3 linked regions of the Drosophila melanogaster genome follow. The protein of the gene in region 2 interacts with the protein of the main gene of each other region in a pairwise test. Each region holds a gene or a part of one and is shown on either strand. Other genes may lie near its edges.

What was found.
Region 1: the proteins of CG10222 (region 2) and CG32683 interact in a two-hybrid assay, tested with the Drosophila melanogaster proteins (one large-scale study listed by BioGRID).
Region 3: the proteins of CG10222 (region 2) and CG3704 interact in a two-hybrid assay, tested with the Drosophila melanogaster proteins (one large-scale study listed by BioGRID).

The regions. Positions count from the first base shown.
Region 1 is NC_004354.4:10,451,040-10,457,506, forward strand, and holds the start of CG32683 (uncharacterized protein), read right to left. Parts: upstream 3,857-6,467; 5' UTR 3,597-3,856; intron 1,454-3,596; 5' UTR 1,393-1,453; coding exon 1,118-1,392; intron 1-1,117.
Region 2 is NT_037436.4:13,409,804-13,415,116, forward strand, and holds CG10222 (uncharacterized protein), read right to left. Parts: upstream 2,651-5,313; 5' UTR 2,650-2,650; coding exon 1,726-2,649; 3' UTR 1,319-1,725; downstream 1-1,318. Other genes in the region: flr (flare), read left to right, coding at 3,139-3,172, 3,514-3,635, 4,255-4,345, 4,534-4,797, 4,863-5,313.
Region 3 is NC_004354.4:938,093-943,391, forward strand, and holds CG3704 (uncharacterized protein), read right to left. Parts: upstream 2,714-5,299; 5' UTR 2,642-2,713; coding exon 2,060-2,641; intron 1,995-2,059; coding exon 1,641-1,994; intron 1,585-1,640; coding exon 1,372-1,584; 3' UTR 1,078-1,371; downstream 1-1,077. Other genes in the region: mus81, read left to right, coding at 3,102-4,382; CG3703 (uncharacterized protein), read right to left, coding at 4,515-4,704, 5,210-5,299.

The sequences.
Region 1 (6,467 bases), on a different chromosome or scaffold from region 2:
AGGAAATTTTTCCAATTCTATCCAATCGATTCGAGCACAAACTTTTGATTAGGCCACGAGGTGTACTTTAGAAATAAATTTTCTTTTAATCCGATCATAAATTACATTGCGATATGGAGTGCACAATCAGCGGGCAATAGAGCCAATAGAGATAAGATCTCCTAATTTCATTCATGAACTATAATTTACATATAAGCGCAAAAATCGAATATTATATTAATATTTCGAAGACGTGGCACACTAAATATTACATTCCAATAAACAACTTTTTAATTATGAAAGAAGTTTCTTCGGGCAAGTTGACATCCAGAAAAAAAAAATGACAAAAAAGGGTGCGCTTGTCATCCAAAAAGTTCCCAAAGGACTCGCTTTAAGGTCTATTTTCGGGGAGTGGCTGGTATCTATTTATAAAGCTTCCCCAATTGGAATCCCCCACCAAACTGCAAAATGTGTTAATTCGTTGTACATAGCAGTCAACAAAGGTTTTTACCCAGAAAATTAGGGTATGAGATTAGGTTAAGGATTGCGATCTAAAGAGTGGGTCAACTTGGGCTAATTGACACCGAAGTCATTTGGAGTGGTGTAATTATATTATGACTCTGTGTTTTTAAAACACTTGGAGTTAATTGTATATTAAGCGTTTGTTTCAAGCTGGAGATTTCAAAGATTTTACAAGGATTATATACATAATATGTATAATAAATACTATATTATAGGGTTATACTTAATAGGTATTTGTTAAACATACATTAGAAGACCTATAACTTTACATATTTATAATGTCTTACTTGTTGTATTGGATGAACTAATTTCCGTATAATATATATATATATATATACATATCGGTTAATATAATTAAATTATGTATGTATGTATGGGCATGCTATTCGATATATTGTAATGGTGTTGATTTAATTTGGGACAGTTGGCTTCACTTTTCGGGCCAGACTAGGCCCAACTTTTGGCCCGACTTGCCTCCACAACATCGCATGCCCAATTAGCTAATGGATATTGACAAGGTCGCTCGGAGCGCGAGGATGGGCTGGATGTCGATGGAGTGTTCGGAACGGGAATGGCTATCGGAATGGGAATCTGTATCGGAATTCGCTTCACTCACCTGTCGCCGTGCGAGTCCCTGTCCCTGTCGCGTTCCAGCCCCGGATTTGGATTGGCCGGAGCGGGTGCATCCGATTCGCCAGCAGCTGCAGCGCCAATTGCTGATCCCGATGCCTCCTCCACCTCGACATCCATCTCCACTTCCGGTTCCGCTTCCGGATCCGGTCCAGATCCGCAACAGGCATGTCTGCTGCCAGGAGCCTCATGCTCCCGCTCCTGCTCCTGCTGCTGCTCCTCCTCGGGGATTGGCTCCTTTTCCTGCTGCTTGTCCGACATCCTGGCTCTTTCCGTTTCGGGTTTTTTTCTTTTTTCTAGGTCCTGCTAATATGGACGGGTCCTTTCCAGGTCGCGATGAAATGGTACAGAGCAGATGCCCAAGTGTTGTAATTGTTTTTTAATAAAATCGCTGCTGCCGCTGCGGCTGCCCAGGCATGAAGTAAAAAAATAAAATGGAAAAGAAGAAATGAAACGAAACAAAACAATGCCATGCGAACAAAGGAAAATTAATGTAAATTAATTGCTGTGGCTGGTGGAAAGCCTCTTACACCCAGCCCTCACTTTTCTTACTTTCTTCCTCATTTCCTGGTGTTTTTTTTTCATTTACATTTTCTTTTTGTCTGTTGTTGGTTTGATGGTCGGACCAAATTAGCCGCAATGTTAAAATAAAAAGCAAAAAGTTCTCCTTACTGGATTTTAAATTGTGGCGAAGGTAGGAGAGAAACTATAATATTATTTCAACGCTTCGGGCGAGTAAATTAGAAACTGCGTTGGACTGAAGAAGACCCATTAAAATAACGTTCATATTTATATAAAATTAACTCCCTTACCAATAATGAGTGGCAAAGCGCAAATAGAGCAAGTTGAGTTAATTTTTGGATGATTTATTTTAGCTGGGAAGCTACTTAAATGCTTTAAAAATCTATATTTATTATCCCACTAATCTGTTAATTTGCAGAGCAGAAATATCTCCCTGTTTTTGAGCCGCAATGGAAAAGCAGCAAAAAGGCTAAGAGCCAGTGGCTGTGACGGACAAGGGGCTTAATGCGTCAACATCCTGCCGATTACAATTGATCACCCAGAGCGGATTAAAGCATATATACATACATATATATAGTGAAGCACCGGACAATTCAAGTAATTAAAAAAGGAGTAAGAACATCGCCACTTTGTGGATTTGGTTATTTGTTAAAGGGATTCAAAACCCCACTCGGGGTTTAAGCAAAAAGTGTAGCATGCTTTTCAGCGCAAACTTTATTTAAGCCACTATACAAACATTCCAACTCTTTTCATGATTAAATATTTATGATTGCAAAGTAAATAAGGTAAGTAACATTTTCTCTACATCCATAAACATTTATTTAACCAAACACATAGTAAAAAAAACAAATACAAATTGAATAGCACATGCGAAGCAGACAGAACCGCAAATCTCGAATCATTCACATACGATTAGGAATCAAACGGGCTGAAGGGCAAAAGCCGATTAGATTAGGGCGGAAAGCGGTTAGTCATGGTCGCAAATGAACTGCTCACCGGCGTAATTGGCCAGGACAAACAAAGCAGAGCTATCAGCTGCCGCCGATAAGTAGGCAACACTTAATGGATACCAAAATATGGCATTTGGCGGCCAGTTGTGATCGTTTGACTACAAATGCCCCATACCCCATTCTCCTAATACCTGATACCCTTCAACTCGGATCAAAGGACCAGAAAGACCGCAAGACCATAAGAAGAACTACTCTTATTTCTGTGGCTTCTACGGGTTTCCTCAAAACATAAATGGGAATTTTCACAGCATTTGCATATGAATGATTCACACGGCCATGCATAACAAAAGGCCACGGTTGGATGGGTGGATGAGTCTGAGTGGGCGGGTACGACAGATAAATAAAGTATAAAACGGTGCCCAAGGAGAGGAACTGGAGCTTCTGTTTTAGGATAGCGTATATATAGATGACACCCCCCTGTGTCTGCGAACACGTCCTCATCAAATATGAAAAAGCAACACAAAATTACCAAAAAAAAAAAAAACAAAATAGGAAGAAAGACGAAAGGAACCGGAACCCAAGCAAGAGCAAGAGGAAATAACGAACCTAAACCAAACCAAACCAAACTCAAACGAAATGAAATAAAATAAAATTTTCTGCATAGGTCTGCATAAACTGGATACTACACCTCGAAAGAGCCGAGCTAAGCAAAAAAAATGAAAAGGAAAACGATGGCTTATAATAGCTGGCTGGACAGGGGCACCAAGGATACCTGACCTCCGACTTTACCGCTTAGCCGCTTTGTTGTTACCTACTTTTTTCGCTTTAGGTTCGTGTGTTTTTTTTTTTTTTTCTTCTTTCTGCTGGTGTTTTGTTGTTCAAAAAGAAAGCCCCTCAAACAAACTTTCCATAACACGCACGCACTTTCAAAAAATTAACAAAAAAAAATACGTACAACAGACACCAAATGAGAGGAAGAACCAGAGTTCAAACCTTGATTTCTTTGTTGATATTTCAATGAGCACGCGAGACAGTGTCTTTCAAAAAAATTTTGATTTTCAATTTAAATTTGGAATTGAATTGGATTGGGATTTGGATTTGAAATGTTCGATCGGATTGTCCGATTTGGGATCTGTTCTGACTGACTCCTTTCGATACTGAATATAACTGCTCCACACTTCTAATCCTCGACACTACTTTTCCGGGGGCTCTCGGTTCACGGCAAACGTAACCGACTGTGGCTGAACAGGAACTGAGTCGTCTTGTCAGCGGACGCGCTATTTTAAATCGGCCAGCGCACTGTTGCTTCCCTGTTAACTTGGCCGTAAACGGTTTGGGCCAGCTGTTGCCAACAGGCGAACCTGTTACTGCTACTCCGAAAGCTTTTTCCGAAAAGCTCTGGCTAAACGACTTACTGCCGTGAAGTTCTCCGTAGGACCTTTCTGAAATATTTCGGATAATACTTGCTTACCTTAATTCCAGCCTACTGAAAAAACTTACTTACCATGAGATTTTGTTTCTTATACTTTATAAACTACTTCTGTAATAAAAATTAACAAATAGCTTACTAAAAACGAACATCTTAAATAAGGGAACGTGATGTACAAAGAAGGCTGTAAATATGAGTAAAATGTTATTGAAATTCTTAAGCAGAAGGTCTTGAGAATGCGATATTCAAGAGCAGCAGGACACCGTCCTATGAGCTCGCCTGCGGAGGAGCTTAAATGCAGCTGAATATATATCCGCCAGCGGTGACCAACGCTGCGTATACTCGATAATTCAGCTCGCCTCTTTGTACGCCTTACGCTATGACAACGGAATAATCATGATTTTTTTGTTTTTTTGGCCACTTGCAGTCGGGGCAATAAATCATCTTCGATGACAATGGGCCGCTACATCATCTGCCTTTTGCGCCATGCCTTTCTGTTCCGCCCTAAAAAGCGTTAAAAGTGAAAACATAAAGCATATAAACTTTGATGGTTCTATTACTCTTTTCTGCTGTGCATTTTTTTTATTCCAACGTGTTTCTTTTGGCGGTCTTAGGTTCAGGTTTTCACCCAAGAAGACTCTTGGCTTCCAGCCGAATCCGATGTCATGTCCGGTTTTGATGGCGTTGAGACGGAGCAGCTTGTCCTCACATTATGGTCGCAGTCGTTAAGCTCCACATGCGTTACTTTGTGACGGTTTTACGAAGCCAGCTTGAAAAAGGCAGGACAGGCGAGAGATCCAGGATATTCGGGGCACATGCCGCAGTTAGCACCCGCGCAAATTATGATTGCACACATCGCTCATCATCTTAAAATCAGCTCTTAATTTACCTAATGCCTATTTATTTTATTGCATAATAGGCTTAAATGTTTAAATCCATTTTCTTGTTTCGGAAACTCTTCTTTTAAAACAAATGATTTCATAAAGATGCCAACTGGATAGCTTAATATATGTACAAATATCTGGTGAAATAACCTGCACCAAAGGAAGTGAATATTGTGTTCTGGTTAACACAATGCCCTTCCATTTAAAGTAAACAAGTGGAGCACTAGGACAATGGCAAGGAATGGCGAAAACTAGAGGAATGGTAGGCTATAAAGGGCTTTTGTTTTCCGGTTTTGCGATGAGAGGAGTACTAGAGGATATAGAATTATTCACTGCTTAGCAATTTACCGGTAGTTCAGAACTCCTGGCAGTGAAACTAAAAAACAGAAGGGAAAAAATAAACCCTTTTTGTTTGCGCACACGAGCCCCAAGTTGTCAAAACAGTTTATTTACCAAATTCATGAGCTCTGTTTGTGCCAGCTTACTATACACTTTATTTATGCTCAATCATGGAATTCGCACAGCACACATATTTCAAATAATATTTTATTTCATTTTTATGTTTTTGTTTTATGTTTGTACGAGGGGGGGGGAAGGAAGTGTGGGAAAGCGACGGGTTTTTTGTTAGTACCAACAAGTTTAGAATATCCAGTCGCTATGCAATGCTATAAATCATGACCAGGTCCAGGGACATTTCAATTCCGTTTATTTTGTTTCGGTTACAACTGCTCCGCTGCCTCACTGCCAATCTGCTTTATTGTTGTTACCAAATCAGAATTTTCGGAAGGGAGAATGCGATTTGACGAGAGGGAGATAAATAAATTCAATTCTGGCCATGTAAATCAAAAACTGCTTATGGGCAAACGGGGAAGGTGATTGGGGTGATGACCTTAGGTAGGGCGAACGAAATTAGAAGCCGAAAGCCCCAGAGAAATTCAATCAGTAGCAAAATGAATAACACCATGGTTGAGGCAACGAATTTTTGGCATACTCGGCAGTCATTTATACATATATAAATGATAACTGAACGGATATAACTGAAAATTGAACAAAAAAACGAAAAACTTTTACAATTAAATAACTCATTTAAGTTGGAATGACATGTAGCTAATGCATTGCACGATTGACACCAACCCATTTTACTGGCACCCTGATGAAGCGCCAGTGCTGCGGGCCACCCCGTCGTATACGTAATTAAGAACTTATGAAATGATATCCGCGGTATCGGAAAACAGTTGGCAATTAAAGTGCAACGGGCGTGAAATGCGGTGAATGTTACTGGGCACTACTCGCAAGTGCCGAACTGCCGAAGTATCCATGTATCCAGGTATCCAATCAAGCAGCTCACTGTTGCGTGTACTTAAGACTTTTGCATCCAACAGATATCCACCTTCCTGCTCCATGGTCGCCTGTCATCAATCACGGTTCGAACAGGAAATCGTTACAGCCAGCTAGAAAATGGGTCGAACATGGGTGCAAGTGGTACTGACTGAGCACGACTGAGTCTGACTGCGAAATCGCGAAAAGATACGTATACTTGTAGTTTGCAGC
Region 2 (5,313 bases):
CAAGCCAGGTCGCTTAACTGTTTAGCCTGACGCGCTTACATCGCAGGGGATCGCACTTATGGCTTTTGAGGACGCGACGAATTATCCTGCAGAGCGTGTGCCAAAAAAACAAGAAACCGCAGCCCGCTGCTTTACACAAATCGCAAAGGCAAAACGAATCCGAGCCCCACTCACTTCGTCCTGGCACGAAACCACTTTCGTTTATTTTAATTTGGCTTGCGGTCAAGGGGATCGGTGCTTTGGGGGATTGGGAATGGGAATGGGGACTGGGGAATTGGCAGCCAGCCTGCTGCAATCTGACAAGAGCCTGCTGCATTTAATAACTGTTTTCGTTTTTGCCGCTGTTTTCTTATGCCCTACAAAGAGGAGCCACCAGCTTAAGCAGAGGGCTTTTAAATATCTTTATAATCAATGCTATACAGCAAATTTATCTTTCATGATTTGTTGTAAACGCTCATTCTTTGGTGAGAAATCCAATAAATTCTTAAAACTCTTTATTCTTTTTTAGCCCTTAAGAGTTTTAAATCCTAAAGCGTATCATTTAAACATGTATAAGGAAGATCCATAACTCCTTTTTAGATTTAAGAACAAGCGTAAATTAGCATAACTTGGCTGGTTTTTAATAAACAACTTTTTCGCTTCATTAAATAAAAGCTACCCGCAAAAGGGGATTCACGAATCGGCTTAAAATAAGATGACTCCTGGTGCTTTTTTATATCCCAACGCGTCTTCCCGTGTCTGCAAGACGGAGCCCCCGAGTGCTCACGACTTGGTCGTGGTATAGGAGTCAATGGCAATCCCGTTTTGTGGTGCACGTGCCACAATTTGCAGCTTGCCACGAGATGTTCACCGGTCGTTCCAGCTCTTATCTCGCAAAACAACGCGCCTCGGACTTAATTAATTTTTATTTATGTTAACGAGGACTTTGCTTTTAGTTAAATCAAAGTATAGGGTTCAGATGCAGATCCTTTTCGACTCAAGTTGAACTTTTGGTTTTTGTATGCTAAAAAGGACGCTTTTGTTTGATTGAAGCCTAACTAATTTACCGAGAAACGTGGGTCTTTTTGATGAGATCTACCAGACTTCGAAATTCATACCTGTTCTTATGTAATAAGTTATTATTTAGTATAAGTTTCTTTATTGATATTTTAGATCAGTTCAATTGTCAATTTTTATTCGCCTAGCAAAGGATATTCTTAAAATCATAATTTATATAAATACAATTTTCTCCATTTGACATATTTTCTGAAAAAGTCAACAAAGCCCAAAAACAAAACAAAACGAAATGATTTTTGTTGTATTTTTTTTTATTAAATTTAATTTAATAATTCTGAATTCAAACCCGTACAATTCTGTACATCTGTAAAATTTTACATACATCATACGTTTTAACGTTTGCAGCGACATCTAGTGGTGGTCTGGATTTTCCAAGTTCAAATGTAGAGTTCTCTTGGTGTTTTCCGATTAGGTGATCCTCAAGTGATTATCAACCATTCTTATTGCAATGTATTTAAACAACTTTAAAGGTTTATTTCCTCTTAAAAATATGTGGTTAGAAAAACAACTAAAAAAGTTTAAGAGTTCAAGCCGAGATAATATTTTAATAAATCCAAAAAATCACTGCTTTTCATTCCGTACCTTAATCCCTCACTCTCGACTTGTATAACTTATTTTCGAAATACAATGCACAATATCACAGGCTATTTTCGATTAGTTTCAGTTCTTTTATTCCATATAGGGTTGGACATCATGCTCCATGCGAGCGGCCTCAGTTTCTGCACCCACGGCGCAGGCTAGTAGTGAGTTGACCGTCTGCTCCTCACCTGCCTTGTAGACGTATCCATTAGCCTTGTCGATGTGATTGCGCAAGCGGAGCATGCTGTCCGTGCTGAAGACGTCCAGCAGTTGGAACGAAACGAGAGCGTAGTCCTCCACCATGGAGCAGATGGCTGCATTCAGTTTTCGATACTTGCGCATGGCGGGATCATCGTCCAGTTTGTCCAGCAGATACTTGAGGTCCAGGACGTCCGTATAATAGTCCACGTTAAAGTGTAACTTGGTCTCGTGCTTCTTTAGCAGATCGGCCTTGGAAAGCACATTAACGTGGGGTAGACTCATCCGCAACATGGTGTTCAATGCCATCAGCAAAGTGGCAATGAATTTGGCAGGCTCCGAGCAGTAATGGGAATCTATAAGGTTAACGGTGACCAGGCTATATCTTTCACGCTCCAAACGCTCGAAAATCCGGGCCATAGCGTTGTGATGGGTATATAGCTCAACTTGGCCGGGACAGTCGAACAGGAAGTAGTTGTAAGTGGCGCTTAGTTTGCGCAGTGCCGGCAACAGCCAATCCTCCAAATGGTCGGCCAGATACTCAGCGCAGTGCATTAGAGCTCCGTTTGGTCCCAGCTTCAGGTGCTCCATGCAATCCTCCACAGTGATTAGCTCCATCACACTTAGCACCGGTTCGTAGGACATGTTTTCGTTGGCTGGATCCAGATTCACAACGCCCACCTGACGGCCCAGTTCGCGATAGAACTTAAGGGCCTCACCGCAATAGGTGGTTTTCCCAGAACCAGGAGGTCCTATGATTAGCTGTCCATAACGTGGATTCTCCACGGTCGCCTGCGTCGGAAATCTTTGCATCATTCTTGCGGAAAATGAAAAATATAAACAATGGTAGAGGTGGGGAACCACAGAGACCGATTAATTTATTTGGCGCAATTTATCGATATTTAGATAGTTTTTGAAAAATATACATTTTATTAAATTAGATAAAAATACAATTTTGATTATATATTTCCTTTTCAAATATAGGAAATTGAAAACTCAATCCCAAAAAAAAAAACAATTTTTTAGTGTATAATTAAAAACGGTAGCAATTAGTAGTTACTGTTAGTATAAAACACAGAACAATATATTTTTAATTTCCTTCCAGTTCACTTCGCTGTTAAAAAGGGGTAAACGCAGCGCAAAGTCGATATAAAGCAAAGAAAAAACCATCGATGACGACGATGGTGAAAACATCGATCTTAGCCCACCACTAATCGTCGGCGAACTTGAGTTTGGTGTTTTCATTTATCCGCGGAATTTCGCACTAATTAGTAAAGGCTTCAGGAGCACCGAGAAATCACCAGAATGGCACAACCCCAACCACCGGCGTACGAAAACAGTGAGTTGGAATCCCACAGAGATAAACTGGAGTCATGAATCCGATCCCACTCCGAATGTGATACGTAGAGAGGGGGATGAGTCAACAGGCGAAAAACGGTAAAAGCAGAAAGCAATCGCCGGAAGCACCGTGATTATGCCCATAAATGGGCATAGATGCATATGAAAGACCTTTTTAAGCAGTAAGAGGAGGCGCGTGTGGAGCCGTTGGAGCGACCCCGTTCCCGTTCGCTCCCCAAAAACGAAGCCGCACCCTATTTTCCACCCACTCCAATTTGCCGGCGTTATCTGAGTAGCAGCAGTCACAGCCCATTTCTAATCGAAATAATCGCTTAATTGCAGAAAACATCTACGCAACTCTGCCGCGCACCCAACGCGGCCAACCCATCGTTTTGGGTGCCGATCCCAAGGGCAAGAACTTCCTGTACACCAATGGAAACTCTGTGATCATCCGGAACATCGAGGTAAGCTGATATATGCTGCAGCCTGCTGCTCCGTTCCTGCCATAAATCCATGGCATTTACGTCCAAATGGTGTTTTATTTTTGGACAGGCTGCAGTTTCTGTTGCCAGTTTGTGTGTGCTTTCTGGCTTTCGGGCAGCTGTTCTATATTTATTTATATATATATGTACAGTATATAAGGCGCAAAACACAGATTCCCATTCCACAGGCCAACCGGCAAAACACAGACTGGCACATAGATACATTTCTTGTTTGCCGCCCACGCATCATCATTATGATGTTTTCATCTGGTCAAAGTGATTCTTCACAGCAGCTATGTGTTTGCCTATCTTTCACCCATTGAATCGGTATAAATTCAAAATATTTCCATGTTTCTTTGTCTTTTGTCCCGATAATCCCGCCACTTCTATGGTATCTTTAATGATCAAGAAATAAAATCTTCCGCCAAAAGATATTCAGGTTCTGGAAAATGAAATGTTAATGAAGGAAACATACATAACAAATTCAAAACCAAACACCTATGTTCATAATTAGGATCCCATTTACCATTAATTTGTTTTAATTTGCTAAAAGTGTCTCTAAAATATGTATGTATGCTTTTCCCTTTCTTCCGCACCATAGAATCCAGCCATTGCCGATGTCTACACGGAGCACTCGTGTGCAGTGAACGTGGCCAAGTACTCGCCCAGCGGATTTTATATTGCATCTGGTGGTAAGTCTCGCCCAGCAATTTCACACTTGGAGCACCCGGCTTTCGGCAACAGAGCATAAAAATCGTGACCACTATGAGTCACGCCACGGTCATGATTAGCATTTCCTTATTTGGAGCGGTTTCTTTATCTTATCTGCGGTTTTGAAGCGAGCAATGTTATTTATTTGGCTTTCTCCTCTTCTCACCAGACGCCTCCGGCAAGATTCGCATTTGGGACACGGTCAACAAGGAGCACCTGCTTAAAAATGAGTTCCAGCCCATTGCAGGACCCATCAAGGATATTAGCTGGTCGCCAGACAATCAGCGCATCGTTGCCGTGGGTGAAGGACGCGAACGTTTCGGTCATGTCTTTATGTCTGAAACCGGCACGTCTGTGGGCGAGATCAGTGGCCAGTCCAAGTCTATTAACTCGGCGGACTTCCGGCCAGCCAGGCCATTCCGCATTGTTACGGGTGAGTTCACATAATAGTCCCAAAATGCAATAAACTTACTTACACACACACACTTGTTATTACAGGCAGCGAAGACAATACTATCGCCGTGTTCGAGGGACCCCCGTTCAAGTTCAAGATGACCAAGCAGGATCACTCTCGCTTCGTCCAGGCTGTGCGCTACTCGCCCGATGGCAAATTCTTCGCCTCCGCCGGCTTTGATGGCAAAGTCTTTCTGTACGATGGCACCAGCTCTGAACTGGTGGGCGAATTTGGATCTCCTGCCCACAAGGGCGGCGTTTACGCATTGGCCTGGAAACCAGACAGCACCCAACTGCTAACCTGCTCCGGCGACAAGACGTGCCGCCTTTGGACAGTGGAGTCGCGCGAGCTGGTTAGCGAGTTTGTGATGGGCACCACTGTGGACGACCAGCAGGTGTCCTGCTTGTGGCAAGGAGACAACCTAATCACCGTCTCGCTTTCGGGCGTGATCACCTACCTCAATGTGGCGGATCCCTCGAAACCGCTGCGTGTGGT
Region 3 (5,299 bases), on a different chromosome or scaffold from region 2:
CTGGCTGGGCCATCGCCCACTTCGCCCATCCGTTTGAGACACACACGATTACCCAGACACCTGGACCTGCTGAGATGGCTCCACGCCAGCTGATCCAGTATGCTAATCCCGATCCCGATCCCCAAATTTCCCCTCCGCTTCTGGCCATGAGGCAGGCGGAAGGCGGAGCAAAGAGTAATCCAAGCACGAAGAAGACTGTTTCTGAAACTACTGTTTAGCTATCCCCAAATTTTTCCAATGCTTGTCTTCACCCCGCACTGTCCCCCCCCTCTTACCAATCACCCATCCTTACAAAACTGTGTGCGTGTGTGTGCTGATAGTGTGTGTGTATGTGTGTGTGTGTGATCCCCAAGATACCCGTTACTTATAAATATGCATAAATGCAAGAGCTAGCTTGATAACTTGACGTGCGAGGGATGTGGTGGTGTCCACGCTGGCCACTGAGCCCCTCCGTGCACCACCAATAGCTGGGCTCTCGGCACGAAGATGTGACAATGTTCGATCTCATCCGAAGTACTTTCCAAACTAACCGAGCTTTTTAAACACAATCCACCTTTTGTGTCTGCTGTTCCTGCTGCTCTGAAACCAATTGGTGGACGCATCGCGGAAAAGGGAGCACCGAGGCACAAAAGCACCGAGGCACAGCCCTCGGAAAACGCACTCAAATCAAATGAAACGTCCAGAGATATGAATATTTTTTTGCAAGCGACTACACCTAATTTGCAGCACAGGCAGGCGGGGATGGGGATGGGGATGCAAGTCCGTCTTGGCCCAAAACGCTTGGCGATTCGATTCGATTCGATTCAGATGGGACAGTTGGGCAGTGAGCAGTAGGGCGGTGAGAAACCGTAGCGGGGGACTACTGTTCGTCTATATAAACTGTGTATAACTGTGAGGCATTGACAAGTATTTGAGATGATCTGTATTTTTGTAAGCGTAATATTTAAAGCGGCAGCCAATAACGAGACAACCAAATCCAGAGAAGCAACTATAAAGCGTAAGATATCGGGCGCAGCAGCCAACACACGCGACACACAATTTATTTGCTCAACGCAGTACACACCACACATGATACATACAGCATAAATGTAAATATATATATATTTATCTGCATACATATATATATATACAGAGTAAGTTACGCAAAGTATGAGGCTTGCATTTACATTTACGAGCGGGATATATCCTCCATATGTATATGTTATCACTAATTTGCAAAGCTAAACTAAGTCCATATATACAAACCAAATATCGGAGGTGCAAGTGACGAACACACACTATATTGAATGTTTTTGCTTGTTAAAGTAAATAATAAAAATGAAAACTCGAAATCACGAAATCCATAGCCATCGAGGATCACAATCCGCCCATTTACGGCTGAGCCTGTTCCTGTTCCTGCTGCAGTTTGTCCCGCTTGCTCTGCTGGGCAGTCAGGTGGTTCTGCACGAAGCTGTGGAAGTTTTGTTCTTCGGCGGTGCCCTTCGCGTCCTCCTCCATCTCCTCCTCGTCTTCGATTTCCGCCGACTCGGGCACCAGACTAGGTGCCATTAGGAAAATGCTGTTTCCAGTGTGCGGCGGTGGGTCCTGAAATAGTTAAGACCCTGCAGTGGGTGCACAAATAGCCGAGGAACTGTTCCTACCTGAAGCGACAATCCCAGGGGAACGGCATGGCCGTCCTCTTCCACATGATCCACTGGCTTTGGACCCGTCGCACTCTCCGCCAGTCGCTCTTGGCGCTTCTTTTCGTAAACAGGCTTGTAGTCCGTCTCGTACTCGTCCACGCTTTCGAGAATCTTCGTCAGTAGCTGGGTGAAGCCTACGCCTGTCTTGGCCGAGACGCCGCACGTTCTTAGATTCTCGTAGAAGGTGTCCAGGGTGAGCGACATGGTGCGCGTGAGGTTGCTCACGAAGCTGTGCTCCTCCTCCTGGGCCTCCTGGAAGGCCTCGAAGTCTGTCATCCAATCCATCACAAATCCGCAGTCCTTTAGGTCGATCTGTTTGAAGCGGAAAAGAAGTTTTCTATACATCTGGATATCTGGGTTGCCGGGAAAGTCGTTACCTTGTTCAGCGCCACAAGGAAGGGCAAACGGGTCTTGTACAGGATGGAGCAGGCGTACAGCATGTTGGACATGAAGGTGGTAGGGCAAGCACTGCGCTCCACATCCATTACATAGACCACAATGGTGGGAAACATGGTGGCCAGTCCCTCGGTTATGATGCTCCCGGAAGCCGACCAGTTAAACACCTCGATCTGTCCGGGCGTGTCGATCACACACCACTTGTGTCCGCGCTCGCCAGCGCGACGCACTAGCTCCGCAAACTGTGCCATTTTGGTGGTGAACATATTGAGCGCGGTCACAATGCCACCGTTGGGACCCAGTTGGTACTGCTTCATCACCTCCCGGTAGTTGACCGTGTCCCGTATGTCCACGTGCGCCGCGTACGGTACTTCCCTGCACGCCGGATCCAGGTTGACCACGTACGGATTGAACTTCTCCTGGGCGTGCTGGATGAGCTTCTGTGTGAACGTGGTCTTCCCGCTGCCGGCCATTCCCAGCACCAGTATGCACACGGGCGACTCCCGGATTCCCTCGCTCAGCGACAGCGCCTCCAGCTTGATGCTCTCCACTCCCTCTGCCATTTCTCTCACGGCTTCACTAAGAATCAAAACAAAAACAGGAGGCGCAAAAACAAGCGTGCAGAGGCAGTGTGACCGTCCTATGGAAAGTGTGCTCTTTGCGCCGCCTGAATTCGCTTCAGATACCAACAAACATCAGCTGTTGTTGCTGCTTTTTATCCTGCGTGGAAACATGTCGGCCATTACATAGTTAACACACTCCCTTAATCGCAGCAGCCTTCGTGGAATCACACATCTTCAGTTTTGCCAGTTCAGTTTTTGCTTGCCCGCCAAAAAAACAAATCAAAAAAAAATACCGAAGAGTTTAGAACATACCGTATATATCGAAAGCCATAATAAGCTTTAAACTAGTTGTACAGTAATAAAAATGCCACCACCAGAAGCCGGCAATTGAAGCGCGTTTATTTGCCGTGCATTAGTTTTATTATTTGGCATTGTTTTACATAATAAAAGTTGTGAAGCAATGGAGACCCGACTGGAAGTGCTCTTGCGGGAGCCGAATCCATTGTTCACCCGTTGGCTGGAGCGCTGGCTGCGCGAAGCGGAGCGCCGAGAACAGAAGTCCCAGTTTAGCCTGCGCCAGGCGTTGGAGTCCCTAAAAAGCTACCCTCTGCCATTGGCCAGCGGACGAGACTGTTCCATTCTGCGCGGCTTTGGGGGCACCCTCTGCCAGCTAATCGACGAGGAACTTCGCCATCACAGAGGCCTCCAATTGCTGCCACAGGAGGCCGTGGTTCAGGAGCGCTACGAGCAGCAGGTCCAGGCGGTAGTACGCAAGGTTCAGGAGAAGCAGCTGGAACACCAGAAACGCCAGAATAAATGCGACAGGCCCAGGAAGCTAACCAAAAAAGATCTGGCGGAGCTGGCAGCCCTTGAAGAGCGGGAGCGCGTCGTGCGAATGAAACCAGGTCAATTCCAGTTACTCCTTTTGGTGGATACTCAGGAAACCAGTGGCAAAAACAAGAGAGTTCTGGACCAGACGAGGAGCTACTTGGAGTCCTTGGGAGCCCGTCATGAAGTGCGTCGCCTGACAATCGGCGATTTCCTTTGGGTGGCCCAGGATCAAGAGGGCAATGAACTGGTTTTACCCTACATTGTGGAGCGCAAGAGGATGGACGACCTGGCATCGAGTATTCGGGATGGTCGCTTCCACGAACAGAAGCACAGGCTGCAGCACTGCGGCCTGCAGCACATCATCTACCTGGTCGAGGACTATGGCGATAACGAGCAGCTGGGCCTTCCACTGGACTCCTTGCAGCAGGCTCTGACTAATGCCAAAGTTCAAACTGGTGTCCGAGTGGTGCGCACGGCGAATCATTACCGATCCATGAGCTATTTGGCCGGAATGAGTCGCACCCTTGGCCAGATATTCGCCGGCAAGAAGTTGCACAGCGTGGATCGCGGCGCCATCGACCAATCCACCTGCCTGCTCACGCATTCCGACCTGGGGTTGCTCAAGTTTCGGGCCCTATATGAGGATTCCGCAAAGAATGCCCAGCTCACAGTGCGCGAGGTTTTCGTGCAACAGTTGCTACAGCTGCATTCCCTTTCCCTCGAACGCGCCATGGCTATTGTGGAAAGATACCCCACTCCACGCTGGCTGCTGGACGCATACGCGGAGTGTGCAGACCAAAAGCAGGCCAGGCTACTCCTCGCCAGCATCCCGTGTGGACCCCTGGAACGTCCACTGGGCGACAAGATCAGCCAGTGCCTACACGAATTCTACAGCACGCACTTTCGTTAGGATTAGCAATTGATTTTATGGGACATATCTAAGGTTATATACACGAGTTTATACATAAGTGAGAGAGAGAATACGTTGGACATTGAATAGTGTGATCTAGTCTAAGCCAAAAAATGTACAAGTCAGCCGCCCTTAGATGTTGCGGAAGTGCCGGATGGCCAGGTCCACCGGCAGGTCGAAGTCAAATCGAGAAAGAGCATCGATGGAGCGCAGTGAGTCGCGGAATCCGGTGCGGGCCACGTAGCTGTCTGCTGAGTAGTACGTGTCCACCAGTTCATGGCAGCTGAGGATCAGGTTCAGCCACTCCACCAGCAAATGGGAACTGTTTGAAGGAAGAGAAAAGCATTTCGAATGAAAGAAGTGTGATAAAAGCCAAGGTAAAGGTCTATCCCCGCGTCCCTGTTAGCCTTATGCTTAAATTAATTCGGCAGACTGCAAAGTCAAAAGCTACCTGCACCTAGCTAAATATATTAATATTTACATATTTATATTTACATGTTAAAGCAAAAAATCGATTAAGCAATTCATTGATAAAAAAGTTTAAGACAGTAGAGAATTGACATTACCGCAGAATTGCTGATAATTGCAGTAAGAATATTTTGATTTTGGACACTTGTAATTATAAAAAGTTTGTGTGTCTCTTGCTCTTTAAGATTCCTCTTTGCCAGGAAAATAACTATAAAATGAAGATTTGAAGATGTAAAAGGCTAGTGCTTCAAACTATGCACCTGTAAATAATATGGTATTGCAAAGTTATGCGGCTTGTAAATTCATCTTAACTAACATTCCTTCGATTTCCCAGCGTTTAGCCCATGTAAATAACTCACTTGAGTCCGGCGCAGACGAAGGCTTTAAAGTGCGCGTTGTTACTCCGTTTGTATGGACGATGCATTGCCAGAATCATGCCCACGGCGCTG